7 linked regions of the Macaca fascicularis genome follow. The protein of the gene in region 1 interacts with the protein of each later gene in a pairwise test. Links are inferred from orthologs where the notes say so. Each region holds a gene or a part of one and is shown in the gene's direction. Other genes may lie near its edges. The genes, in order: EFHC2, LONRF1, CLIC3, CACNB4, TSSK3, COPE and PLOD3.

The links.
Region 2: the proteins of EFHC2 (region 1) and LONRF1 interact in binary tests that used the Homo sapiens proteins (3 or more experiments, as listed by UniProt). The two-hybrid records come from large-scale screens. The link is inferred for Macaca fascicularis from reciprocal best matches to the Homo sapiens genes EFHC2 and LONRF1.
Region 3: the proteins of EFHC2 (region 1) and CLIC3 interact in binary tests that used the Homo sapiens proteins (3 or more experiments, as listed by UniProt). The two-hybrid records come from large-scale screens. The link is inferred for Macaca fascicularis from reciprocal best matches to the Homo sapiens genes EFHC2 and CLIC3.
Region 4: the proteins of EFHC2 (region 1) and CACNB4 interact in binary tests that used the Homo sapiens proteins (3 or more experiments, as listed by UniProt). The two-hybrid records come from large-scale screens. The link is inferred for Macaca fascicularis from reciprocal best matches to the Homo sapiens genes EFHC2 and CACNB4.
Region 5: the proteins of EFHC2 (region 1) and TSSK3 interact in binary tests that used the Homo sapiens proteins (3 or more experiments, as listed by UniProt). The two-hybrid records come from large-scale screens. The link is inferred for Macaca fascicularis from reciprocal best matches to the Homo sapiens genes EFHC2 and TSSK3.
Region 6: the proteins of EFHC2 (region 1) and COPE interact in binary tests that used the Homo sapiens proteins (3 or more experiments, as listed by UniProt). The two-hybrid records come from large-scale screens. The link is inferred for Macaca fascicularis from reciprocal best matches to the Homo sapiens genes EFHC2 and COPE.
Region 7: the proteins of EFHC2 (region 1) and PLOD3 interact in binary tests that used the Homo sapiens proteins (3 or more experiments, as listed by UniProt). The link is inferred for Macaca fascicularis from reciprocal best matches to the Homo sapiens genes EFHC2 and PLOD3.

Annotation. Positions count from the first base shown.
Region 1 is NC_088395.1:44,294,055-44,297,554, reverse strand, and holds part of EFHC2 (EF-hand domain-containing family member C2), read left to right. Parts: intron 1-258; coding exon 259-401; intron 402-3,028; coding exon 3,029-3,225; intron 3,226-3,500. UniProt on the Homo sapiens protein: Microtubule inner protein (MIP) part of the dynein-decorated doublet microtubules (DMTs) in cilia axoneme, which is required for motile cilia beating.
Region 2 is NC_088382.1:12,657,745-12,661,244, reverse strand, and holds part of LONRF1 (LON peptidase N-terminal domain and RING finger protein 1), read left to right. Parts: intron 1-2,339; coding exon 2,340-2,492; intron 2,493-3,500.
Region 3 is NC_088389.1:2,334,291-2,338,101, forward strand, and holds CLIC3 (chloride intracellular channel protein 3), read left to right. Parts: upstream 1-1,352; 5' UTR 1,353-1,376; coding exon 1,377-1,409; intron 1,410-2,173; coding exon 2,174-2,283; intron 2,284-2,363; coding exon 2,364-2,489; intron 2,490-2,638; coding exon 2,639-2,745; exon of another isoform or gene 2,746-2,824; coding exon 2,825-3,309; 3' UTR 3,310-3,311; downstream 3,312-3,811. UniProt on the Homo sapiens protein: In the soluble state, catalyzes glutaredoxin-like thiol disulfide exchange reactions with reduced glutathione as electron donor.
Region 4 is NC_088386.1:47,398,582-47,402,081, reverse strand, and holds part of CACNB4 (voltage-dependent L-type calcium channel subunit beta-4), read left to right. Parts: intron 1-1,640; exon of another isoform or gene 1,641-1,642; coding exon 1,643-1,773; intron 1,774-3,500. UniProt on the Homo sapiens protein: The beta subunit of voltage-dependent calcium channels contributes to the function of the calcium channel by increasing peak calcium current, shifting the voltage dependencies of activation and inactivation, modulating G protein inhibition and controlling the alpha-1 subunit membrane targeting.
Region 5 is NC_088375.1:202,656,164-202,660,236, reverse strand, and holds TSSK3 (testis-specific serine/threonine-protein kinase 3), read left to right. Parts: upstream 1-1,273; 5' UTR 1,274-1,462; coding exon of another isoform or gene 1,463-1,609; 5' UTR 1,610-1,690; coding exon of another isoform or gene 1,691-1,824; 5' UTR 1,825-3,393; coding exon 3,394-3,975; 3' UTR 3,976-4,023; downstream 4,024-4,073. Other genes in the region: protein FAM229A, read right to left, coding at 1,171-1,273, 1,463-1,609, 1,691-1,824. UniProt on the Homo sapiens protein: Serine/threonine protein kinase required for spermatid development and male fertility.
Region 6 is NC_088393.1:19,305,493-19,308,992, reverse strand, and holds part of COPE (coatomer subunit epsilon), read left to right. Parts: intron 1-507; coding exon 508-589; intron 590-1,926; coding exon 1,927-2,082; intron 2,083-3,500. UniProt on the Homo sapiens protein: The coatomer is a cytosolic protein complex that binds to dilysine motifs and reversibly associates with Golgi non-clathrin-coated vesicles, which further mediate biosynthetic protein transport from the ER, via the Golgi up to the trans Golgi network.
Region 7 is NC_088377.1:49,857,740-49,861,867, reverse strand, and holds the start of PLOD3 (multifunctional procollagen lysine hydroxylase and glycosyltransferase LH3), read left to right. Parts: upstream 1-1,328; 5' UTR 1,329-1,485; coding exon 1,486-1,594; intron 1,595-1,973; coding exon 1,974-2,065; intron 2,066-2,222; coding exon 2,223-2,359; intron 2,360-2,442; coding exon 2,443-2,606; intron 2,607-2,746; coding exon 2,747-2,859; intron 2,860-3,609; coding exon 3,610-3,673; intron 3,674-4,128. Other genes in the region: ZNHIT1 (zinc finger HIT domain-containing protein 1), read right to left, coding at 525-546. UniProt on the Homo sapiens protein: Multifunctional enzyme that catalyzes a series of essential post-translational modifications on Lys residues in procollagen. Plays a redundant role in catalyzing the formation of hydroxylysine residues in -Xaa-Lys-Gly- sequences in collagens.

The DNA of each region.
Region 1 (3,500 bases):
TTATGACGTTTGTTTTGGGTTCATTTTCCCAATGTGTTACCCAGGACATGTGAAGAATGAGAGATATCTTAATATACTGAGAAAATTCCTCTGCATTTAGATTTAGAACCTTAATTAGAAGACGGTTGAACTCTTTCACTTTGGACAGTTTATGCCTACTCTATTAAAGCCATATTATACCTTTTGCAGACTTTTAAAGACATAATATGTGGAAGATTACCTGTATAATGCTGTAACTCTCATTTCTGTTCCATTTAGCTATGGCTTCAAAAGCAATATACTCCGTTTTTTTGCAAAACTAGTCACAGACAAATGTGTTGACTTGGACAGGATGTTTGTTATTTCATATTATCTCAGTGATGACACCATTTCAGTGTTTGAACCTATAGAGAGGAATTCAGGTAAGAGATATCCTTCTCACAGTATTTTCTTGAGAATGTTTTAAGTGTCTCTTCATGTTGAAAATTAGGGAACATGATCTGGTTTTGTAGCCTAGATTATCTACAATAGAGGCTTTATTTAAAAAAAAAAAAAAAAACCCGAACAATAGAGTTCTTTTTACAAATCTCTTAAATGGGAACCTAAACATTTAAAATGATAGAAGTGAAACAGTTTTGGTTGGCTTAGGGCCAGGGGACCTGGAGTTACTTCCTTTTTGCCACTATCCCCACTTCCACTGTGACTTCTGAGGCACCTCTGTGGAACCCAAGGGCTTCAAATTCATGGTCTGGGTACCACTAGTTTTACTTGTAGCCAGCAAGCCAAGAGGAAGTCTGCATTCTTGATAGTCCTACTTACAAAATTTTTGTTTGGCTGTAAGACAAGAATCCCAGATACACAAATTCAATCGTCAGGGTCCATCTTTATCTGGTCCTTCTGTCTGTTGAGGTTGTTGCCAAGGTTCCCGCACTCAGACCCATAGAATGCCTCTCTGCAATATGCTGGTACCACCGTCACTGCTGAGGAGAGCCATTGACTTACCCAATCATGGCACTGTAGGACCCTGTTCTTTGTCTCAACACGTTTAGAACTTTTATCTGTGCTGAAGACATGCATTTGGGAAGAATAATCAGTGATGTGCTGGTTAAGTGGCTCTTTGAAAAGATTTTAAAAGCCCTGATTTGTACTGTTTGCCAGTTTCCATGGTGTGAATACCCCAACCATGGCCAATTTCAAGCAGCCAAGAGTTTAAAAACTGGCTTGCAAAATCTCTGAAAATTCGACTCTCAGCTCCTATGAGCTGATATGAGCTACTTAGCACAGCGATGAGTAATGAATAACTTGTATAACTAAGGCTCCACAGTGATTTGAATAATGGATCAAATCTTAAAATATGAAATTGCATAGGGATGAATATAAGTCATGCTCTTACAGGTCAAAAATCAACTCTGTACACTTAGAATGGGGGAGATGTGGCCAAACAAGTTGCAGCATGTGTGAAACAGAAAGCAGTGATGATAGTCAGCAGCAAGCTTACTAGTAATCACAGTGGCCATGATGGAGAACTTACTATTATCCTTACAAGGACTTTATGAGGTTAGATTTTGTGTTAGTCCAGCTCCTCCGAGAAGCAACTACCAAGACAGGATTAAATGTGCAAGAGATTTAATAGGGGGAATGCTGGTGAGGGAAAATGTGGAAGGAGCCAGAAGAGGCTGGGAGAGCTGTCAGACTATAGTGCAGTTCTGACACCTGTGAAGCTCAGAGGGAAGGAAGAAAGAGGGAGTCTTAGACTGCAGTGAAATTCTAAGAAAATTTCGACAAGGTCGACAGGGAGTCCTTGAGGCAAAGTTGCTAGTTGGAGGAGTCCTTGTTTTGTAGGAGTGAGCCTGTCTTACTATCCCTGCCTTGGTCACTCATCTATTGGTAGCAGCCCGTGGGAAGAGTGACCTCAACACACACCTGAAGATTGATTTAAGAACACAACAGCTGGGGCCTTCCATCAGTTATGTTCTTCGCTATAGGCGACCTGAGAAGTACATTTTCTGGACCTCCACACATCTGATTCCCATTGTACCAATAAGAATTCAGAGAGATTAAATAACTCCTAAAGATCACCCAGCAAGTAAGTGACAGAACTCGGAAGCCTGTGTCTTTTTACCACCTATCATTTCTGAATGTGGTAGGAGAAGGGGGATGAAGTGGCCCAAAAGCTTATCTGGTCTCAGGCTATATTTATAGGTCTGTAGATTTCAGTTCAGTATCAGAAGATGCTGGAGTTCCCTGTTCAACTCTACTGGCTACTTTCCAAGAGGTCACAACAAATAATGTCTAGAAGAGAACAGATGAAATGGTGACAGCTCTGGAAACTAATATGAAGCGTTACTAAAAGAAGCAAAGGGATTTTACCTGTAGGAAAAAATGACTTAAGGGGACTCCCATAGTTACCTTTAAACACTTAAGTAATCTCCTTTACAGAAGTAGGGCATTTGCTACTTAATCTGCATGTCAGATTAAATATAAGACATCATCTGGGACAAATAGGTGGAAATATGCACAAGTGAGGAATTTTCTAACTGGTACTGTTCAAACATGCTCTAAAGATGAGTATCTTCCTGATGTTCCACACTCCCAGTATGCTGCTGGGCATATATAGGAGGTCCCTGCCAAGTGCTTATTGGACTGGGAAGAGAGTAGAGAGAGAGAAAAAAAGGCTAGAATTACACATCATTTTCTCTCTCTCTCTCTTTTTTTTTTTTTTTTGAGATGGAATCTTGCTATGCTGCTCAGGCTGGTCTTGTACTCCTGGCCTCAAGCGATCCTCGTGCCTCAGCGTCTTGCGTTGCTGGGACTGCAGGCACATGCCACCATGCCCGGCTTTGCTTTTTGTCTTGAACACCCTTGCCTAGGAATTCTTACTCCTTCACTCACTGCCTCATTCTTCCCTTAAGTCCAAAACAATAGGCAATATTAGTTCACAGGTAACTTATATGGTGGTCTGTGCTTGAAGATAAAGTAACTCTGAAGGCAAGTCAGATGGTTCTTTTAAGAATAAAGGCTGCTCATGAACTTTTCTATTTTTCTATAGGAATTACCGGTGGGATGTTCTTGAAAAGAAGTCGCGTTAAGAAGCCTGGACAAGAAGTCTTTAAAAGTGAACTATCTGAATATATCAAGGCTGAGGACCTGTACATTGGAGTCACAGTGAATGTGAATGGTTACCTATTTCGTTTGCTCAATGCTGATGAGTATACCTTAAACTACATGGAGCAGAATACAGATAAGGTGAATTTACTTTGTGTAATTCTTCACTTGCCTCTCAGCCCTCCGCAGTCTGTGTTTTTCTTTCTCTAGGGCCTTTTCTTCTTCATCTTGCCACCAGTTTTACATTGTGCATTCATACATGTGGGCATGAATAATGGATTCGTGTGACTTGGCCACATGTCCCATCACAGAGGCCAGGTTCTTGTCTACTCTGTTTACATGCTGGGTTCTCCTCTGCCCAGCATCACAGATTCCAGGCACAGGCAGGAGGCAGGGCCAGCGTTGAATCAAGTTTC
Region 2 (3,500 bases), on another chromosome or scaffold:
AAGGCATTATAAAAACAGATCTTATCCCGTCACTTGTTCATTGATCTGTTTAGGCCCTTCATTTCAGTTAACATTTATTGGATATTGGCATTAGGTATTTTCACAAACATTAACTCATAGAATTTTCACAACTCTATGAAATAGTAGATGAGGAAAGTATAATTCAGAGGTGTTAATTTGCCTAAGATCCTATAATGTAACAAAAATGATTAAAGCAAACTCTCTGACTCAGGCTCTGAGCTTTAGCATTATGCCATTTGGCTCTCTGCTGATAAACCTGATTAGTCTGACGTTGGCTGTCCTATCTTATTATAAAAATGCATTGGGGTACTTTGCCCTGTGCAGTTGGCCAAAAGTATTGTGTAAGTTGAAATTTTGAGTTGATTGGTATAATCTGTGCCAACCTTAAGCATACTTAATTAATGGAATCACTTGCTAAAGGTTCTCCTTTGTAAAGTTAATAACCCTATTTCAGTTTCATGTAAAGTTATGTCTTCACATATTGGATTTGATGACAAAATCACTTGAGTATATGGCTAAATTACATGACTATATGTATTAATACTTATAAACATGTAGGCAATGGAATCACATTCTAAAAGTATCACAGATTTGATATTTATAAACTTGTATAAATTTTTTTTATAAATTTTTTTATAATTATAAATTATTTATAAACTTGAGTCCTCTTTGTGGTCCTCGGAATGTCCAGTAATTTTTCCTCATCATAATGTCTTCATCTATATAGTGATTTTCTTGTCCATTCTGGAAAACCTTCTCAGATTTGTTTTTTATAGCAAATTTTCCTCTTCTTATAATAATTCTGTTTTCTGTGACTTCTAATGAAATTTTAAAATCTATTAAAATTATCACAGTAAAGTACTTTGACTTTAAAAGCTTGCTTTTAAAAGGGAGCTGGCCAAAAAGCAGGCAGAGACTTGCAGAGACGCTTTTAAAGTCTCTGCCTGCTTTTTGGCCAGCTCCGTTTGTCATCACAGACTCTTATAATTGTTATCATTCCTTGTTTACTAGAGCCTGTCATTTGTTTTCTTGAATTTTGTGAGGGTGCAGAGTAGATGCTTAAAAAAAAAAAAAAAAAAAAAAAAGATTGAACAAGTCGTAAGTTTTGTTTCTTGCTCCTGTCAGTGTATGTTAGCAACGGCCCAAATCTTGTGTAGTCATTTCAGGGCCACAATTCTTTAATTGTGTGGCTCCTCTACCTTTTTTAAAAGTTTATTTTTATTGTGGTAAAATATACATAAAATATACAATTTTAACCATCTTTAAGTGCACACTTCAGTGGCATTAAGTATAGTCACATTGTTATGCAAAAAGCAGATGCTCTTTAAACTTTAGTTTTAGTTTTCATTTCAAATCTTTCCGAAGTAAAAAGTATGCCTTTTAGTCTCTGGTGTGCTGTAGTCTTATTTTTATGTTTCAAAATGTTTTCGGAGTCCCTTTGTTGTTTTTATATGAGTCATCCTTGAAGTATGAAAGGCTGAGTCAGGCCTGGTATTTTTTCAGATGAGTTTGTGCATATGAGACAGAGCAGGACCTGGCACGTAGCAAGTGGGATGTAAGTGTGCATTAAAGAAATCAATATAAGATGGATGAGTTAAACTTAGATATTCCCACCTGTGTTCTCTGAGACTACCCTTCTATCTCAGGCTGGAAGCCTGATGCAATTAATTTTACATTTGCAGTTTGGTGACCCAGTAGTCTAAAGAATACACTGAGGGGTTCCAGAGGTAGCCATAGCCTTGGGCCTTTCCAGCAGAAGTTCATCATTGTGTAACTGACTCTCTGACATACTGGCTTTATATGCTAACTTATTTGTTATAGCTTTTTGTTTGTGTTTGTGTTTTGACCCAGTTCCCTAGCAAAAGATGTAACTGTGCGACTACTTTCTGTCATGTCATCTACACCCTAACCACTCATCTTTTCTTTTTTGTAGCAACTATCATCCACTTTTTTGTGCCACTGCTTTCAAAAGCCATTGATCCATAAAGACAAAAGGAATTCCAAATTAGTGTAGACCTTTGAACCAAAACGCACTCTCCATCTTACTCCTCCCACTTGGGGGCTCTTGGTAGGGTTCTGCAATGTTGCACTGCTAAGTCAGCAAGGTTAGGCATAGGTCAGGCCTTGCTGTCTGTCTTTAGTCTGGTCAGCCCCATATGAGACAGAAATATGTAGTATAGCATAGGAATAATACTCTCTGGGAGGTCAGCACTGAAACAGATATTGCCCTGTTCTTCTGATGCCTTTTTCCATTTGTGTCGGTTGGCATATGGATGGGGGATTAGACACAGAAGTCTTACTGACTATTGTATTTCTAGGTTGAGGATGAAGATGAGATTAAGAATCTCAGAGAGCTTCATGATTTGGTTTACTCTCAAGCCTGCAGCTGGTTTCAGAATTTAAGAGACAGATTTCGAAGCCAAATTCTTCAGCACTTTGGATCAATGCCCGAGAGGGAGGAAAACCTTCAGGTATGGTGGCTTTTCTCTTCTAACAAAAGTCACTTTTTTGTAAACCTAAATTTGCAAACTTCTACATTTGTTTTTTCACTGTCCTTTCTGCACTACATTTTCTTTGACTACCCCCTCCCCCGCACCGGCCCCACCTGGTTTAGAATCATGAGTGTTCTAGAGCAGTGGTATCCACTACATTCTGTACAGGTAGAGGCTGGAAATAGGTGTCAGCTGAGATGCCTGTAGCAGGGAGTGCCAGAGAGGGAGCAAGGCCTTAGGATTTTTAGGAGGGGTAGGAAATTAAAAATCGGATGTTACTATCTAGAAACTGTGACTGTGAGACAACTAACTATGCCTTCAAGCCCATTGCCTGTTGTTATTCTTTGACAGCAGCGAGACTTCCCATTTTCTATACATTTAAAGCATCTTTTCTCACCTTTCTTTGTATCTCCCAACATTTGACCCTGCCACTTCATTTTTGTCTCTTCGTGTTTAATACCTCACTCCTCATGAAACTTCCTCTTTTAATCTCGCTGGTACTTAGGGTTTACACTTAAGCTTAGTCTAATGAATGTGTATCTGGCACTTTCTGTGCAAGCAAAACTGCAGGAGGCATAGAAGAAGGGTCTGGTTCCTGGAAAATCTGATCATAGACTCACTAAAGCACTTCGTTTTAGGCATAAGCATTTTGAATTGAATTAAACGTTTTTGATCAGAAGGTGATAGACTTTACAAAGGAATGGCTGTCAGTAAATATGTGAAGATGGAGAGATAATAGATCTCATTGTAATGCACATTGCCTCATTCCCGTTTTCAAGGGTTGGTCTCTGTCTCTCTGAATCCCAAGTGAATCCTTCACCTCAACTTGAAACACCAACATTAGGCCATCTCCAAATTTAGTATTCATTCTGTTTAGCATATTATCAGTTGCCATCTATTTGTTTTAACTGATTACTTGAATCTGATTAAACATTATAGAAATAGGCTTTGATAAGAACAACATTGAATAAGAAATTTTAAATAACA
Region 3 (3,811 bases), on another chromosome or scaffold:
CCAGCGAACGGAGCTATAACCACAGTACGAGAAAGCCAAAATATTAGGTCTTGGAATCGAGGTGGAGGCAGGATGGAGGGAAACTGAGGCTCAGGACACCAAAGGATAGGGGAGCCACGTGGCATTTCCAAGGCTCCGTGTGTCCAGGAGCCCAGACTGGCATGGTATCCAGAGAAGTGTCAGGCTGGGCTGGCTGGGGCAGCACTGGAGTTCGGTCCGCCGGGGACGGGCGTGGGGCCTATACCAAGGCCCTGGGGAGAAGGTGAGCAGGCGAGCAGTGCCACCTCAGCTGCCCCGTCCGGGCTCGTGAGGCACCACACCGCCTGGGGGAGGTGTGGCCAGGCCAATCTTGTGGGCACCCCGGGTCTCTAGGTGGAGTCTCCCCTCGGTGTACCTCCCTGGGGCTGCCCCCCAAAGCATCAGGGCCCAGGTGGGATGGAGGCGCAGTTGATGACCCCAAAGGGCCAGACTGAACTGTGGGTTCCAATCACACCAGGAAGCTCAGAGCAGGCTCACACCTGTGGACCAGCACCGTCCCCTGGCTGCTTTCTCCCAGCCACGCAGGCTGTGGCTTCTACCCCGCTCCTGCTGCTTCTTTTTAAAGGTTAAGGGGTGGGGGTAAGAAACCTGTGCTGAGAGCCAGTGGGAGGGATGGGAGGTGGGGTGGAGACCTGCACTGCCGGCCAAACACCAAAGCCAGGCTGGCCTCCCCGCCCTGTTGCGGGCAGGTCTGGAATTTGAGCCCCGCCCTGAGCGGGGAGGGCCCTGCCTGACTGCTCGGTAGCTGGGAAGGGGCGGCTCCCCCAGGTGGGCCTACCACCCTTGCAATGCTCCGGTGCTGCAGATGGGGAACTGAAGCTAGGCTGGGCACCATTTCTCCTGCTCACCCACACCCACTGGTTTTCTGGGCTGGGAGCCCTGACAAGGGGTATTTGCCGAAGGCAGAGCCATAGGGCAGGTTCTGAGCTAGGTTCACGGTGGACGTGGTCCCGACCCAGAGCTACCCCCTCCCCAGGTGACACTCCCTGCACCCTTCTGGCCTGTAGGTTCTCCCTGTGCCCCGCCCCCGGTCTCCACCCACCACGCTGGCTGCCAGCACACTCCGCACTGGGTGGGTGGATCTCTGTGTGCACCAGACTCAAGTCCAAGGCAGCCCCCCACACCATTCCCCCACCCTGAGGTCACACCCTCAGGCTCAGATACCCCAGGGCCAGGCTGGTGTTGCTCAGGCAGCCAGCTCTGCGCGCTGGGCAGCTTCATCTGCCCGCCTAGGTGGCTCCACGGGGCGGGCCCCTTGGCCAGGGAGGGCGGGGCGCACAGGGAGACTTAAAGAGCGACCCAGGTCCCCACCCGGGCCTGACCGCGCAGCTCCCACCATGGCGGAGACCAAGCTCCAGCTGTTTGTCAAGGTGCAGGGCAGACTGAGCTGCAGGGAGGGTGGCTGGGAGGGGGTGCTCTTCTGGCTTTGCTTTCTGGGGCAGGTTGTGGGGTGGGCCTCCCCAGTAATGTCTGAGCCCCTTCCTGTGGGTGGCTAAGGAGACTCGGGCAGCCCTACAGAGGCTGAGTAAAGTGGGACCCAGAAAGTCACCCAGAGAGGGGTCCAGTGGCCCTGGTCCTGCTCCCAGCCTTGGCTCCTGGGCCCAGCCCAGTCTTCCGGAGGAGAGCCCCTTGGTGGGGAGGTACCAACCCAGCTGCCAGTGATGGAGCTTGAGGTCAGTGTTCCAGGATTGGGGGTGCTGGGCCAGGCAGCCCCATCAGCTCTCAGGTCGGGGACTGGCATGTGGGGGCTGGTGTGCTGCTGGCCACAGCGCCCAGTCTCATGTGTGAATCACTCAGAAAACAGCTTGTGGGGCCTACCCCACCCTTGCAACCAGCTTTTGGGGACTGAGCCCAGGGGCCTGGCCTGTCCAGGCTCTGATAAGATTCCAGCGGCCAAGCCCGCTCCAGGCTTCAAGGCTCCCAGCAGCTCTGCGTCCCTCCCCATGTCCTGGGGACCAAGTCAAGGGCCCTTACTGGGCACTTGGAAGTCGCGCCGACCAAGCTGGAGCTCTGGCATCCCTCCAGTCCCACTGGCAGTGGGAGGCGGGTCCCGCCCAGCCTGGTGGCAGGATGCCTGGGTCTGCTCCCAGCCCTGACCTCCCCCCCGCCACCGCCCGCCACTCCACCCACCCAGGCGAGTGAGGATGGGGAGAGTGTGGGTCACTGCCCCTCCTGCCAGCGGCTCTTCATGGTCCTGCTCCTCAAGGGTGTACCCTTCACCCTTACCACGGTGGACACGCGCAGGTGAGGTGCCATCCTGGGGACCCCTGCCTGGCCTCACACACTGGTGGGCCGGCCTCCTCCCACCCTGCTGCTGCCCACAGGTCCCCGGACGTGCTGAAGGACTTCGCCCCCGGCTCGCAGCTGCCCATCCTGCTTTATGACAGCGATGCCAAGACAGACACGCTGCAGATCGAGGACTTTCTGGAGGAGACGCTGGGGCCGCCCGAGTGAGAGCCTGAGCAGGGTGGGAGGGGAAGAGGGGGCGCCCAGGGAGGACGCGCACAGGACAGAGCCCAGGAAGGCGCTGTGGGGTACTGTAGGGCCGGGACGGGGCTGCCCCCATTCTGATGGAGTCTCTCACCCCCTCATCCCGCAGCTTCCCCAGCCTGGCGCCTCGTTACAGGGAGTCCAACACCGCTGGCAACGACGTTTTCCACAAGTTCTCCGCGTTCATCAAGAACCCGGTGCCCGCGCAGGACGAAGGTGAAGCGGGGTCAGGGGATTGGATGCCCAGGCGGGAGGGCGTCCTGGGCCAGGTCCTCACCTCGCCGCCCGCCCCTAGCCCTGTACCAGCAGCTGCTGCGCGCCCTCGCCAGGCTGGACAGCTACCTGCGCGCGCCCCTGGAGCACGAGCTGGCGCTGGAGCCGCAGCTGCGCGAGTCCCGCCGCCGCTTCCTGGACGGCGACCGGCTCACGCTGGCCGACTGTAGCCTACTGCCCAAGCTGCACATCGTCGACGTGAGCGCGGAGGGCGGGCGGGCGGGCGGGCAAGCCCGGCGCGCTGGGGGACGGCAGGTCCTGACTGCGCCCCGCGATCCTGCCCGCAGACGGTGTGCGCGCACTTCCGCCAGGCGCCCATCCCGGCGGGGCTGCGTGGCGTCCGCCGCTACCTGGACAGCGCGCTGCAGGAGAAGGAGTTCAAATACACGTGTCCGCACAGCGCCGAGATCCTGGCGGCCTACCGGCCCGCCGTGCACCCCCGCTAGCGCCCCACCCCGCGTCTGTCGCCCAATAAAGGCATCTTTGTCGGCAGTGAGGGTGTCCTGACATCTGAGGAGTCTCGTGATCACTTCCCATCCCCAAACCCCAGGGTGGGACGCTCAGCCTGAGAGCCCAGAACCACAGGGGCAGGAGAGCCGGGGTCGGGCGGGTCCCATCCTCCATGTTAAGAAAGCGCAGACTCCAGGTCTCCTGCAACCGGTGGCCTCAGGGATCTCCAGGACCGGATTGGGCTCCCAAACCAGTCAGGCCGGGGTGGGGCGGGGTGCCCCAGGTGGATAGGGGCTGGTACATTCCTCAATCCTGTCCGGGGGCAGGCACTCCCCTCCCCGCAGGGCACTTCCACAGCATCTCAGGGTCTGCACAGGCCTTCTCCTGTGTGCATCCTCCTACGGGGCTCCGTGCCCTGCCTGGGTGCGGCCTGGGAGGGTGGGAACAAAGTTCTAAGCCTTGGGGAGCCCTGGCCCTGCCTGGCTGGGCCCCTCTCAGCTCCTGGGCTGGCAGGGATGGAATAGCTGGATGGTCTGAGAGTGCTCACCTCCCTCCGGCC
Region 4 (3,500 bases), on another chromosome or scaffold:
TCCATTCCTCCTTCATAATGTATCAGAATCATATATACACACACACACATATATATATTTCACTTTTCTATGAGCTCAGCAAAACAAACTACATATCATTGTTACATTTTGAAAAAAATATATGTGTTTATAAATATATATGTTTTGGGTCAAAGTAGGAGAGAATTGTCTTGCCCAACACTGATAAAAACAGTAAAGGAAGTTTTTAGAATCATCTCCGGAGAGTTTAAACAATAGAGCTGATACCTATTTTGTAGAAGTGACCTAGCAGAAACCTTTCCTTGAGGCAGGGAGCTTGAACTAAATTGCTTTCTGCTCTATAATTCAGCAAATGTATAGTTAGAAATGCAATTTTACTGATCCACCAAATAAGCCCACATTGACAGACTCTCACCCCACACTGGTTGAAGCCTTTGCATAGACTTGGGTCTTGAGTTTACATGTCATGGAACTTAACTTAAATGGAAATTCTGGAGTTCCCCTTGGGCTTCAGAGCGTTTGGAAATTACTTGCAAAATTTCACATACAAATATGTAATATGCTCAGACTTTGTAAGAGTAGGCATCTTTTTCTTCAAGTAGTAAGTTGGACATTAATTTGCAAATCTATATTTGAAAGATCATGACTCTTCCCCGGTGAGATTACACTACAAATAGTATTGTGGAATTTTTACCTGAGAGCTTTTGACAAATTATGGACTATTAAATGTATTTCATATCAGACATATCCGTCTTGCCTTCCAGAGTCCCAATTACATTGGTGCATATTTATCCTTGTGAAATATGTTCTTTAAGAATTGGTTAATAATAAAAAAATAAAATAATAAAATAAAATAAATTAAAGTATAATAATAATAAAAAATAAATAAATAAATAAATAAATAAATAAAGAATTGGTTAGAGCTTCTTGACAAAGACCAAAAGAATCCAAAGGTTAGGACCAGACATTAGTCCAGGGGTTCACAAACTATAGCCCACAGGTCCAGTCTGACCCACTGCCTTTTTTGTAAAGAAAAGTTTTATTGAAACAGAGCCATGCTCACTTGTTGATGTTTGCCTGAGGCTGCTTTCACACAAGGACAGCAGATTCAACTAATTGTAACAGAGACCACATGGTCGGCAAAGCCTAAAATATTTACTACTTGGACCTTTACAGAAAAAGTTTGCAGAACCCTGCTTTAGTCTATGAATCTACCTCAGATATATAGAGAGATATATATACACACACACACATATATACACACACACAATATAGTTTATATAAAATATAGTACAGGTATATATACACGCATATATACATATACAATATAGTTTATATAAAACAGTATAGATATATAGACATATATGCACATATACATATACAATATAGTTTATATAAAATAAAGTATAGTATACTATGAGAGTATAGTTTATATAAATATGGTATATAGTATGATGTATACAATATAGTATACACATACATATAAAATATAATTTATATAAAATATGGTATACACATATACATATAAAATATAGTTTATGTAAAATATAGTATAATATCATATCTTATAAATAGCATTTTATTCTTCTTGTCCCCTAAGATTCATAAACAACGTGAAGATAAGTGAATTACTATTGATAGCAATTTTATTTCTGAATTCCAGAAATATAACAATGATTGGTGGATAGGAAGGCTGGTGAAAGAGGGCTGTGAAATTGGCTTCATTCCAAGTCCACTCAGATTGGAGAACATACGGATTCAGCAAGAACAAAAAAGAGGACGTTTTCACGGAGGGTACGTTTCCATCTTTTCTATGCACTTTTTTTTTGGTCAGAAAATTGGGTGATATTTTCAAGAGTGTATGCTGTCAAAATAGAAGATACTTTGCTGTGTGCAAGGTGTTTCTGAAATTGACACAGAAGAGTTTCAGATAGTTCTCTACCTTCTGTGCATGCTGAAGCCTAACACCACTGGAGACCATATGAATTCCATGGCAAAGACTGTTTTCTGTGGCCTCAGCAAGCCCTCCTTGGAACCCAGGCTTTCCTCTAGGAGAGTCACTTCGGGCATTCTTTCTCCACACAGTGAGTGGGAGCTGACCTGAACAAGCATTATGGCTCCTCTTGGTTCACTTACAGACTCTCCCTTAAGCGGGCACATAATGTGATGGTACGTGCAGGTCCCGGCACTGACAGTACCTTCTCCACCCCAGGCTTTTTGTGGCATCTCTTTTCCCCTGGTATTTGGGTGAAGACAGCTTCAGGTGAAACAACCTTTATAGTGAACCACTCAAGTAGCCATGTAGATCTCAGAGTGCAGGTATTTAAAGGCCCCAGGAACACAAGCACAGCTTGAGAGAAGAGAAACCAATTCATCCTGAGTCTGCATGTACCGTGTCGCAGCCTGCACTGAAGCCTTGATTTCATATGTGTTACAATTTTTTGAAAGCTCTAAAATAGAAGCAGCTCTTTCTCTTGACCCTCAACCTCTGTTTTCTGTTGAATGCTTTTCTATTTCAAAAAACTCCTGTGTTCTTTGGGCGCCCACTTTTGTCATAATAAGAACTGCTCCAACAGTAATAGGAGATCACAAAAGTATAGTTACCCCACTTTTAATTATCGATCTTTTTTAGCATATAACTTGCCAATACTATTATTAATATTAATCCCTCTTGTCCCTTGTATTAGTCTGTTCTCATACTTCTTTTTTTTTTTTTTTCTTAGACGGAGTCTTGCTCTGTCACCTAGGCTGGAGAGCAGTGGCGCAATTTTGGCTCACTTCAACCTCTGCCTCCCAGGTTCAAGCAATTCTCCTGACTCAGCCTCCTGAGTAGCTGGGGTTACCAGTGCGCACCATGCCTGGCTAATTTTTGTATTTTTGGTAGAGGTGGGGTTTCACCATGTTGGTCAGGCTGGTCTCGAACTCTTGACCTTGTGATTTGCCTGCCTCAGCCTCCCAAAGTGTTGGGATTACAGGTGTGAGCCACTGCACCCGGCCTGTTCTCACACTTCTATAAAACTGGATAACATATGAAGAAAAGAGCTTTAATTGTCATGGTTCTGTAGACTGTACAGGAAGCATGGCAGCATCTGCTTCTGGGGAGGTCTTAGGGAGCTTTTACTGGTAGCAGAAGGCAAAGCAGGAGCAGGTGTCTTACATGACTGGAGCAGGAGGAAGAGACAGGGAGGTGCCACACACTTTTAAACAATCAGATCTCACTGTAACTCACTCACTGTCACAGGAACAGCACCAGGAGATGGTGCCAAACCATTCATGAGGGACTGCCCCCATGGTCCAATCACCTCTCACCAGGCCCCAACTCCAACACTGGGGATTACATCTCAACATGAGATTTCCTGCGGACACAGATCCAAACCATATCATCCCTTTTTTTCTAAACTGTTTGTCTTCCATGCTTCTTTTTAGACACATGGGGAGCATGTTTTCCTGTCTTGGGGTCTTTGCATTTGCTGTTTTTTCTTACTAGAACCTTTCTCTTCACACTTTCACCAGGCCACTCC
Region 5 (4,073 bases), on another chromosome or scaffold:
TTTTTCTTTTTTTTGATAGAGTCTTGCTCTGTTGCCCAGGCTGGAGTGCAGAGGCATGATCTTAGCTCACTGCAACCTCTGCCTTCTGGGTTCAAGTGATTCTCCTGCCTCAGCCTCCCGAGTGGCTAGGATTACAGGTGTGTACCACCACACCCAGCTAATTTTTATATCTTTAGTAGAGATGGGGTGTCACCATGTTGGCCAGGCTGGTCTCAAACTCCTGACCTCGTGATCCACCTGCCTTGGCCTCCCAAAGTGCTGGGATTACAGGCGTCAGCCAGCATGACCGGCAAGCCAAGGTTTTTCAAATGGCCTCTCCCCCAATCTTTTTATGATCCCTTGTGTCCTAGGAGAAACCAAGTCTCAGGATGGACTAGGGCAGCTCCAAACCCTTCCAACAAGGAAGGCCCTAGGCGCCTAGGACCGCAAAGAGCAAGTCCCAGAACCATCTTCTCGCTGGAGAGGATTAAAATGGGCCTGGTGGGGCGTCTGTAGTCTCAGCTACTCGGGAGGCTGAGGCAGGAGAATTGTTTGAACCTGGGAGGCGGAGGTTGCAGTGAGCAGAGATCGCGCCATTGCACTCCAGCCTGGGAAACAGCGAGACTTCGTCTCAAAAAAAAATATATAATAATAAATAAATAAATAAATAAATAAATAAATAAATAAATAATGGGCCTGGTGTGGGTGGCCACTGGCTGTATTCTATGTTACTTGTCGGCCCACCTCTCCCTCCTGTCCCCCACTTCTGTGGGTCACCGGGGTCCAGCACAGTGATGTGAATTTCACCAGAGAACTAGGAGAGGGTTAGAGAGATCTCGGACAAGGGCAGGGCCCCAGGGGAAAGGCTGCCCAGCAAAAAATGGGAGGAGCGAAGTGGCATAGGTTGAAAGGTGGAAGGGCGGGCCCCTGGGGCTGTGTCCAAGCGAGGAGGCCGCGGAAGGGCAAGTGTTATTGGACTGGACAGAGCAGCTGGTGGGCCCGACGGATAGACATACACTGCCAGCCCGGAGTGGAAAGAACAGTTTATGCTGTGCTTTATTAAAATGTGCATCATTTATTTTAAAATGTGCATCATTGTCTCGTGCTCGGCGCATGCGACCTCAGCGTGGTGGCCCGCGGGGGGGCCTCGTTCCCGCCCAGCTCCCGCGGAGCCGCAGGGAGCAGGCGCACTCACGTGGCGCGGGCCCGGGGGCTCCCGCCCATGGCCAGGTAGACGTCGATGGGCACGTGCAGCAGCGTCAGGCAGTGGCATCCGGGGCAGCGACGAAGCGGCCTGGGGAAAGCGGGGCGCGACAGGGGGCGCTGAGGCGGGGGCCCGGCCCATCCTGTAGGGCACATCCAGGGAGTGCACCTGGGTCCCCGGGGGTCCGGATGTGGATGCGGGGACCTGACTGCTGGGGGCGCCAAGTGGGACCGAGGGCGGGGCCGCGGGACGGGCGGAGGGGGTTGGCGCGGGCCTCACCTGACCGGGTTGTGCTCCGTCGCTACCGCCTCCGGGCTGTCCTGGGACTCGGGGGAGGCGGCAAGGCCACGGGAGTCTCCGGCCTCAATGGGGAATCTCCGACCCTGCGGGGGCTCCTGGGCGCTCATGTCCAGGCCCCGGGGCGCTCTGCGCGGGGAGTGGCGGTCAGGCCTCTCCCGGGCAGCCGGGCGCCGCCGCCTCGCGCCCGCCCCCTGGGCCGTCGCTCACCTCCCGGAGGCTGAGACCGGTCCCAGGCTGGAAGCAGCTGCCCGAGCCCTGGCCGCGGGAGAACGCTCCGGTCCAGGCGGAGCCGGGCAGGTCTCTGCGGCGGGCCCGGACCCGGGCGTCGAGGAGGGCATCATTGTGACCCGGGCCGCGGCGCGCTGACCTCACAGAACCCGTTCCTCCCACTGGAGAACCCCCAACGGCGCCCCCGGCCGCCCCTGGCACTCAGCGCGGGCCGGAACCGGGGACTGGAGGGATCTGGCCATGGCGCCTGGAGACGGGGTAGCGCAGACCCCAGCCACCCGATGGGGGCGCAGCAGGCCAGGGCAACCCGCCGCGAGGCGGCGTCCACGCCAAGGAGCCGAGCCTTCCCGGCCCACACAGACGCCGAGGAGCGCCCTCCCAGACGGGGCTACGACTCAGTGCCTGGCGCGGGGGCGGGCTCGGCGGTGACTTAATCCGGGCTGGGTTTGGTGGTGGTAGTGAGGGCAGGTAGGGGCACTGCCCATTTTGGCCAAGGGTCACACAGCATTTACATCACAATTGCGCCGGAGCTTAAAAATGTCTGGCCCTCTCCCTCCCCACCACCCGCGGCTGTGTCCAGACAATGTTCTAACGCTGGGGGCGGCTGCGGATGAAGTCCTTGGGGAGAAAAGGAGCAGGCCAAAGGCGATGGTGGAGTAGAGCTGCCTCGCAGAGGCAGCATGAGCTGAGAGGGTGATAGGAAGGAGGCGCTAGACAGGATGGAGGACTTTCTGCTCTCCAATGGGTACCAGCTGGGCAAGACCATTGGGGAAGGGACCTACTCAAAAGTCAAAGAAGCATTTTCCAAAAAACACCAAAGAAAAGTGGCAATTAAAGTTATAGACAAGATGGGAGGGCCAGAAGGTGAGCTGGGGCCCCTTTGGAGGGAAGGAGGGCTGGCTGAAGGCGGTGGGTGCTTCCTCCTGTTGAAAAGATCATTCGATCACTCCCTGCGCCCACTGGCCTGGAACCAAGCAAGCCGGATGGCAGCTCTGGAGTGGGTCAGTGGGTAACAGAGGGATTCTGGGAGTCCAGGAACATTACACCCCCCAAAATGCAAGATTAAAGTGGCATGAGGTAAAGGATCCTCAGAGGCAAAAGCTGAGCCAGGCTTTCCTTTCCGGCAGAGGTACAGAGACTGGCAGAGGCCACAGCCAGGGCTAGTAGAGAACAGGGGCTGGTGCCAAGGCCTGTGGAGATGGGAAAAAGGAAGACAGGGCTCATGGAAAGAACTATGGGGTCAGGGGACAGCGGCGGGAGGAGCTGGCTCACCAGCCTGTGGACAAATCAGGCCTGCTAATTTGTGATTCTGTGGCTTTGTCTAAAAGCACCTAAAGCACCTTGATATCCAGTCTCACAGACTGCTCAACAGTCCACGAGGCTGGTGGGAGTGGTTCTTTTTTGAATGATACACTAATGACAAAAATAATAGAAGTAAACATTCTTTGCAATGTCCAAGCAGCTAGACACATTTAAGACCATTAAGGGAGCCAAGAAATAAGACCCAGACAAAGTGGGCAGAAGTTGGAAGGCAGGAGACAGGTGTGAGGAGGTGGGCCTTTCTGATCTGCCAGCCCATCTCTCCTCCCCTTACTTCCTCAGAGTTTATCCAGAGATTCCTGCCTCGGGAGCTCCAAATTGTCCGTACCCTGGAACACAAGAACATCATCCAGGTGTATGAGATGCTGGAGTCTGCCGACGGGAAAATCTGCCTGGTGATGGAGCTGGCTGAGGGAGGGGATGTCTTTGACTGCGTGCTGAATGGGGGGCCATTGCCTGAGAGCCGGGCCAAGGCCCTCTTCCGTCAGATGGTTGAGGCCATCCGCTACTGCCATGGCTGTGGTGTGGCCCACCGGGACCTCAAATGTGAGAACGCCTTGTTGCAGGGCTTCAACCTGAAGCTGACTGACTTTGGCTTTGCCAAGGTGTTGCCCAAGTCGCGCCGGGAGCTGAGCCAGACCTTCTGCGGCAGCACAGCCTATGCCGCCCCTGAGGTGCTGCAGGGCATTCCCCATGATAGCAAGAAAGGTGATGTCTGGAGCATGGGTGTGGTCCTGTATGTCATGCTCTGTGCCAGCCTACCTTTTGACGACACAGACATCCCCAAGATGCTGTGGCAGCAGCAGAAGGGGGTGTCCTTCCCCACTCATCTGAGCATCTCGGCCGATTGCCAGGACCTGCTCAAGAGGCTCCTGGAACCCGACATGATCCTCCGGCCTTCAATTGAAGAAGTTAGTTGGCATCCATGGCTAGCAAGCACTTGATAAAAGCAATGGCAAGTGCTCCCCAATAAAGTAGGGGGAGAAAGCAAACCCAAAAATCCGCTTCTAAAATGGTGATATATATTTTACGCCTTAAGTTT
Region 6 (3,500 bases), on another chromosome or scaffold:
AGTGGTGGGCCTGTCCCACAGGGTGAGAGTGGGCTTTATGGAGGGAGTGGAGGTCGTGCCCGGAGGAACATGTCGCTGGGCCAGCTTGTAACTGTGCCATGGGGCTGGCGGGGCCTGCACGTGGCGTCACCAGGTCGGAGGCCATGGCTGGTGGTCCAGGACTCCCCTGCTGCCGTTTCCAAAGCCCTTGCCTCAGAGTTGTTCATGCTGTAGCTCCGTCGCCCTTCCCTGCGTTCCATCTTCCGTGGAGCGAGTCTCTCCCGAGCCCTACCTTGTGCCAGCCACCTCGGGGGTCCGTAGCTGGCTCCAGTCCCGCCTTCCCGGGGCCTTCACGTGGTGGGGCGGGCAGGGCAGCTCGGGCACTTCGTCGTGGGGTATGAGCACGCAGGGGAGCACGTAGTGGGGGCCATCCCCGGGCTCTGGCGGGCCCCAAGTGGGAACAAGGCAGGGATAGCCAGGCCAGGGCTCTCGGCCGCTCAGCCCCTCCGTCCTCTGTCCCCACCCCAGGAAGGAACTGAAGAGAATGCAGGACCTGGACGAGGATGCCACCCTCACCCAGCTCGCCACCGCCTGGGTCAGCCTGGCCACGGTGAGTCCTGGGCCACGAGGCAGGCGGGCATTGTGGGCACCTGGCTGAGTAGGGTCTGTGGGCACCCCCACCTGTGCCCAGGCTGCCGGCCACTCCAGTGGGGCTCCAGGATCAGGCCATGGCCCCCTGCCAGCCTGGCACAACTCTCAGCCTTCACTCCATTCCGGGCTTCTCACAGCCAAGCGGCTTGGCCAGAGGCAGAGCGATGGTGGGGACGGGGACGGGGTTCCTGAGCCTGAGGCGCAGGGGGACTCGAGGGTCTGGGTTGGCCTGGCAGCCCCTCCTCCCCCCAGGGCTTCCTGGGGTTTTCTGCGACTCAGCTTTGCTCTCCAGGGTCCTGGTCCCCAGCCAGGGACAGGGTTCAGTGTTCCCATAGCAGCGGTGGAGATGTCCTCAGCTCCCAGGCCTGGGCACCTCTGCCTGGCAACACCCCCCTCCTGGTTTCTGGGACTTGGCCCCCTTCTGAGCCATTCTTTTGTGCAGGCCTGTTAAAATACACTTCCTGGCTGGGCACAGTGGCTCACGCCTGTAATACCAGCACTTTGGGAGGCTGAGGTGGGTGGATCATGTGAGGTCAGGGGTTCGAGACCAGCCTGACCAACATGGAGAAACCCCATCTCTACTAAAAATACAAAATTAGCCGGGCATGGTGGCACCCACCTGTAAACCCAGCTACTTGGGAGGCTGAGGCAGGAGAATCGCTTGAACCTGGGAGGTGGAGGTTGCGGTGAGCCGAGATTGTGCCATTGCACTCTGGCCTGGGTGACAAGAGCAAAACTCTGGGGGGAAGAAATGTGCTCCCCGTCCCTGCCCACCACGGGGCTGGAGCCTCACCCAGATGGACTTCCAGTGGCCGTCCAGTGTGGTGGGACAGGCCTCGGCAGCCCTCTCGGGTAGTTTGAACTGTTTTCACAGCCTGCCTTGACCTCAGGCTCCCCCTGCAAGTATCCCACAGTCCTGAGCAAGCGGGCAGGTCAGAGTTGCTGGTCACAGAGCTGACTCATCCTCCTCCGATGTGCCCGGTGACCCAGTGGTCCCCACTCAGACCCTGGCCCAGCCACCTGTGCCCCTGTGCCCTGGAAGCCCTAAATTCCACCTCTGTGTACCCAGCGCACTGGGAGCCGGGTAGGAGGTGAGGCAGGAGGCGGCCGCGAGTCTTTAGGCCCCGTCAGCAGAGTACAGGTTATGAGTGGTCCCCATGGTGGAGTGGCTGTGCCTTGAACCGGGCATACCAGATTTGTGTCTGTGCAGTGCAGAGCCCCCTCTTGGGGAGGGGGCTGACGGTGGAAGGGCCTGGCGGCCGCAGCACAGATGATGATGTGGGACCCTCCCTGCAGGGCGGTGAGAAGCTGCAGGATGCCTACTACATCTTCCAGGAGATGGCTGACAAGTGCTCGCCCACCCTGCTGCTGCTCAATGGGCAGGCGGCCTGCCATATGGCCCAGGGCCGCTGGGAGGCCGCTGAGGGCCTGCTACAGGAGGCGCTAGACAAGGTAGGCACAAGGCTGTCCCAAAGTGGGAACGGAGGGAAGGCCAGGCGGCCGGAGGGCGGGGTCAGGGCAAACAGAAACAAGTGTAGCAGAGATGCCCTGCGTGTGCGTGTGGCCCCACAGGGCTTCTGAGGCCCAGTCAGCAGCGAGATCCACAAAGCAGGGATCGCACCTGCAAAGAAATCCAGATTCCGGCCTCACAGAAATGGGGCATCTGGGCAGCCTGGGCCTCAGTGGTCTGTCACCTCAGCTGCCTGGCCCTGCATGTGGGACCCCTCACCTGAGTACATATTCAGTATTGGAGAGACACTCCCAGTCCTTATTTAGGGGACAGCGTGCTGTGGCCAGGAGCCCAGGCTGGCTGCAGTCGTCTCCTGTCTGATGTCTGCAGTCTTTTCTTGTCTTTTTTTGAGATGGCGTCTCGCTTTGTCACCCAGGCTGGAGTGCAGTCGTGTGATCTCAGCTCACTGCAACCTCTGCCTCCTGGGTTCAAGCGATTCTTTTGTCTCAGCCTCCCGAGTAGCTGGAATTATAGGCGCTTGCCACCATGCCCAGCTCATTTTTGTATTTTTAGTAGAGATGGGGTTTTGCCATGTTGGTCAGGCTCGTTTCAAACTCCTGACCTCAGGTGATTCACCTGCCTCAACCTCCCAAAGTGCTGGAATTATAGGCGTGAGCCACCATGCCTGACCATCTGCAGTCTTTATGAAGAGTTTATGTTATTTTAAATTTAAAAAAAAATACTATTTTTTGTAGAGACGGGGTTGTTCTTGCTGTGTTGCCCAGGTTGTTCTTGAACTCCTGGCCTCCCAAAGCACTAGAATTACAGGTGTGAGCCACCATGCCCAGCGGATTTTTTTCTTTTTTTTAATTTCTTTTTTTTTTTTTTTTTTTTTTTTTGAGATGGAGTCTTGCTCTGTCCCCCGGCTGGAGTGCAGTGGCACAATCTCAGCTCACTGCAAGCTCTGCCTCCTGGGTTGATACCATTCTCCTGCCTCAGCCTCCTGAGTAGCTGGGACTACAGGCACTCGCCACCACACCCAGCTAATTTTTTGTGTTTTTAGTAGAGACGGGGTTTCACTGTGTTAACCAGGATGGTCTCAATCTCCTGACCTCATGATCCGCCCACCTCGGCCTCCCAAAGTGCTGGGATTACAGGCGTGAGCCACCGCGCCCGGCCTGGGTTATTATTTTTATAATCAAAAAGGACATCAAAGCTTTTTCCATTTTGGTGAAACGGATTTTGGGTTTTATTTGTTTGTTTGTTTGTTTGTTTGTTTGTTTTTTGAGACGGAGTCTTGCTCTGTCACCCAGGCTGGAGTGCAGTGGCCGGATCTCAGCTCACTGCAAGCTCCGCCTCCCGGGTTTACGCCGTTCTCCTGCCTCAGCCTCCCGAGTAGCTGGGACTACAGGCGCCCGCC
Region 7 (4,128 bases), on another chromosome or scaffold:
CCAGAAAAAAGCCAATGCTTGGATAACAGGGATCTTTCTCCTCTTCATCCCCAGCGCCCGGTTTGGGGCAGGCATCAATAAAACGTGAATGGTCAACGCCAGGACCCGAGGGCTAAGGAAGGGATTTAAGAGGAATAGCTGGGGCCGGGCGCGGCAGCTCACGCCTGTAATCCCAGCACTTTGGAAGGCCCACGCGGCAGGATCGCTTTGAGGCCAACAGTTGGAGACCAACCTGGGCAACACAGCGAGAGCCCGTCATCACATAACAAATTAAAAATTAGCCAGGCGTGGTGCCTCATGCCTTCAGCTCCAGCCACTCGGGAGGCTGAGATGGGAGGATGGTTTGATCCCAGTAGTTCGAGTCTGCAGTGAGTTATGACTACGCCACTGCACTCCAGCCTAGGTGAAAGAGCGAGACCACGTCTCAAAAGAAAAAAAAAAAAGAGGAATGAATAGGTAAGAAAATTCTAGGACTGGTTTGGACTTGGGAAGGGGAAGGGGGCGAACCGCGGGGGCTCACATACCCGAAGTTTTCTTCTCCACCATTTGCACAACACAACTGTCGGAAGAGACTGCTGCGCACGCGTACTAAACCCACGGCGTTGGTAGGGGCGCCATCACTTCCGGTGGCTTGTACTTCCGCGCGTGCGCCACCGCTTTGACTCATTACGTGGCGTTTCCTTGGAGACAAGAAAGCTTTTTGCCATGTTTTATAGGGGCAAAACTACTTCCGGCCTCAGTGTGGAGGTGTAAATCTTGTAGGAGCCACGAAATGGGTCATTTTAAAGATGTGCTCACGGTGTTCTTACGAGAAACCTTATTTTCCTTTGGTCCTTGTGAAGATGCTCTGATCACAAAGGCAGACCCTGGAGCTTCTCCCCGGGCAGAAAAGGAAGTGGGCCGAACTGTCAAAGAAAGTGGCTTTGATCCCAGCGGACTGGCTTCCGTGGGCAATCCGAGGTTCCTAGTGGCCCTCTGCAGAAAGCTCAGCTCCCAGTTCCCCCAGGCCTCCGTCCCGCGGCGGACTCCTGGGCTTCCTCCCTCCCTGTCGCCGCCACCCCCTAGCTCTCCCCGTCTTCCGCCCGCACTCTCCCGGCAGGGCTGCTGCCAGGACCCGCCCCCGCGTCCCTCCGGACCCACCGCCAGGGGTCACTTCCCCTGTCCAGGTTTCAGCTTCCACATGTGTAAAGCGGAGGGCTCGGCCCAGAGTCGCTGTCTCCCGCCCGCCGGCCCGAGCTGCCGCCCCTCCCCCGCCTCCCGTGCGCCCGGGACAATCCTCGCCTTGTCTGCGGCGCCGGCATCTGGAGCTTTCTGCAGCCTCCGGATACGCCTTTTTTCCAGGGCGTGGCCCCAGCCCAGCTGCTCCCCGCGGCGGCTGCACAGCAGCCCGAGCGCCCCCTTCCCGGAGCTCCCCTCCGGAGCTGGGATCCAGGCGCGTAGCTGAGGTCCCAGGATCCTGGGTGCTGTCTGGGCCCGCTCCCCACCATGACCTCCTCGGGGCCAGGACTCCGGCTCCTGCTGCTGCTGCTGCTGCTGCTGCCCCCTGCGGCCTCAGCCTCCGACCGGCCCCGGGGCCGAGACCCGGTAAACCCAGGTGAGATCCCGGGGAGGCCCGGCGCGGCCAAGGGGGCAGAGGCTGACGTGCCTGCCATCCTGGCCCGGAGAGGGTCGGGGGCTCGAGGAGGTGTCTGTCCCGTCCGCCGCCCAGCGTGCTCTTGGGGCTGAGTCGCGCCAAGCCCCTTGCCCATTACCACCCTGAACTGAGGTTTCCAGCCTCCCTGTGCAAACGGACTCGGAATTCCTGGGCGCCACTCCCACCCTGTCCTCCCTGGGGTCAGAGTGTTCCTGGGTGAGAAGAGTTTAAGAATGGGAAGGAAGAAAGGGAGAGAAGTCGAGTGAGAGGGAGGACAGCAAAGCACGTGGGGCCCGGAGCTGGGCGGTGGATCCCAAGTGCCAATTCCCTCTGGTAACAGAGAAGCTGCTGGTGATGACTGTGGCCACAGCTGAAACCGAGGGGTACCTGCGTTTCCTGCGCTCTGCGGAGTTCTTCAACTACACCGTGCGGGTGAGGAGAGGGAAAAGCCTCTGGGAGGGGGTCCCAGCAGGAGGGGTAGGCTGAAGTCTGGATGCCCAGGTCCCCACGGTGAGCCTGGTCAGGAGCTCCCCCCCTCCCCCCCGACAACTCCCCACCCCTTGCCTGGCATGAGGCATCTTCTCCGCAGACCCTGGGCCTGGGAGAGGAGTGGCGAGGGGGTGATGTGGCCCGAACAGTCGGTGGAGGACAGAAGGTCCGGTGGCTCAAGAAGGAAATGGAGAAATACGCTGACAGGGAGGATACGATCATCATGTTTGTGGACAGGTAACAGGGCTTGGGATAGGGAGCAAGGTAAGGATGCTGAGGTTCCCAGTGGACCCCTGCTCATCCTCCCCTTCCTCACCCAGCTACGATGTGGTTCTGGCCGGCAGCCCCTCAGAGCTGCTGAAGAAGTTCGTCCAGAGTGGCAGCCGCCTGCTCTTCTCTGCGGAGAGCTTCTGCTGGCCCGAGTGGGGGCTGGCGGAGCAGTACCCTGAGGTGGGCACGGGGAAGCGCTTCCTCAACTCTGGTGGTGAGTGGCAAGGTGCCCAAGGCAGAGGGGCCAAGAGCGGTGGGACAGAGTGTTAAAGGTGCCTGAGGGCTGGAGAGGGCCTGGGGGACAGGCCCTGGGACCCTGGGAGTCTCGGGGTCAACACTTCCCCTCCTCACCAGGATTCATCGGCTTTGCCACCACCATCCACCAGATCGTGCGCCAGTGGAAGTACAAGGATGATGACGATGACCAGCTGTTCTACACACGGCTCTACCTGGACCCAGGACTGAGGGTAGGGAAGACAGAGGAGTGGGTGCATCCCACACCTCTGTGGGAGTGGAGGCCTCAGGCTGAATGGGAGTGGAGGGGCAAAGGGAGCTGTAAAGAGAAAAATGTGTGCCTGGGCGTGGTGGCTCATGCCTGTAATCCCAGCACTTTGGGAGGCTTAGGCAGGAGGATTGCTTGAGCCCAGGAATTCAAGACCAGCCGGGACAACATAGTTGAGACCTCATCTCTACAAAAAAAAAAAAAAATTAGCCAGACTTCATGGTGTACACCTGTAATCCCAGCTACTTGGGAGGCTGAGGTGGGATGATCACTTGAGCCTAGGAGTTTGAGGATGTTTTGCACCACTGCACTCCAGCCTCTGTGACAGAATGAGACTCTGTCTCTCACAAAAAAGAAAAAGCACGGTGGCTCACGCCTGTAATCCCAGCACTTTGGGAGGCCGAGGCTGGTGGATCACTTGAGGTCGGGAGTTTGAGACCAGCCTGGCCAACATGGTGAAACCCTGTCACTACTAAAAATACAAAAATTAGCCAGGCATGGTGGTACTCTCCTGTAGTCCCAGTTACTTGGGAGGCTGAAGCAGGAGAATCGCTTGAACCGGAAGGCAGAGATTGCAGTGAGCTGAGAGCATGCCATTGCCCTCCAGCCTAAGCAACAAAAGTGAGAGAAAAAGAGAGAGAGAGAGAGAAGAGAGAAATGATGTCCTTCCCACTCCTTCCATTTTAACTACTCTATCGCATCTCATTCCGTTTAGGAGAAACTCAGCCTTAATCTGGATCATAAGTCTCGGATCTTTCAGAACCTCAACGGGGCTTTAGGTGAGGAGGAAGACAGCCGCAGGTGGGCAGTGCGCAGCCTCTGCAGCTTGGGGTCTTGAGCTGGGAGAGGCTTCTGGAGGAGCTGGGCTGATCTGAGTCCACCTCTATGTGGTTTTATTGGGCGTCTGAGTGGCTGGTTGTGTGAGTTGCACTGTGCTGATGGTACTAGAAGCAAGGGAGGAAAAAATGTGTCTGGCATCTGTTGCACACATGCTGCACCTGGGCACCAGGCCAGGGGCTTTTTTTTTTTTTTTTTAGATGGAGTTTCGCTTTGTTGCCTGGGCGGGAGTGCAATAGTCCAATCTCAGCTCACCGCAATCTCCGCCTCCCGGGTTCAAGTGATTCTCCTGCCTCAGCCTCCCGAGTAGCTGGCATGCGCCACCACGCCTAGCTAATTTTGTATTTTTAGTAGAGACAGGGTTTTACCATGTTGGCCAGGCTGGTCTCGAACTCCC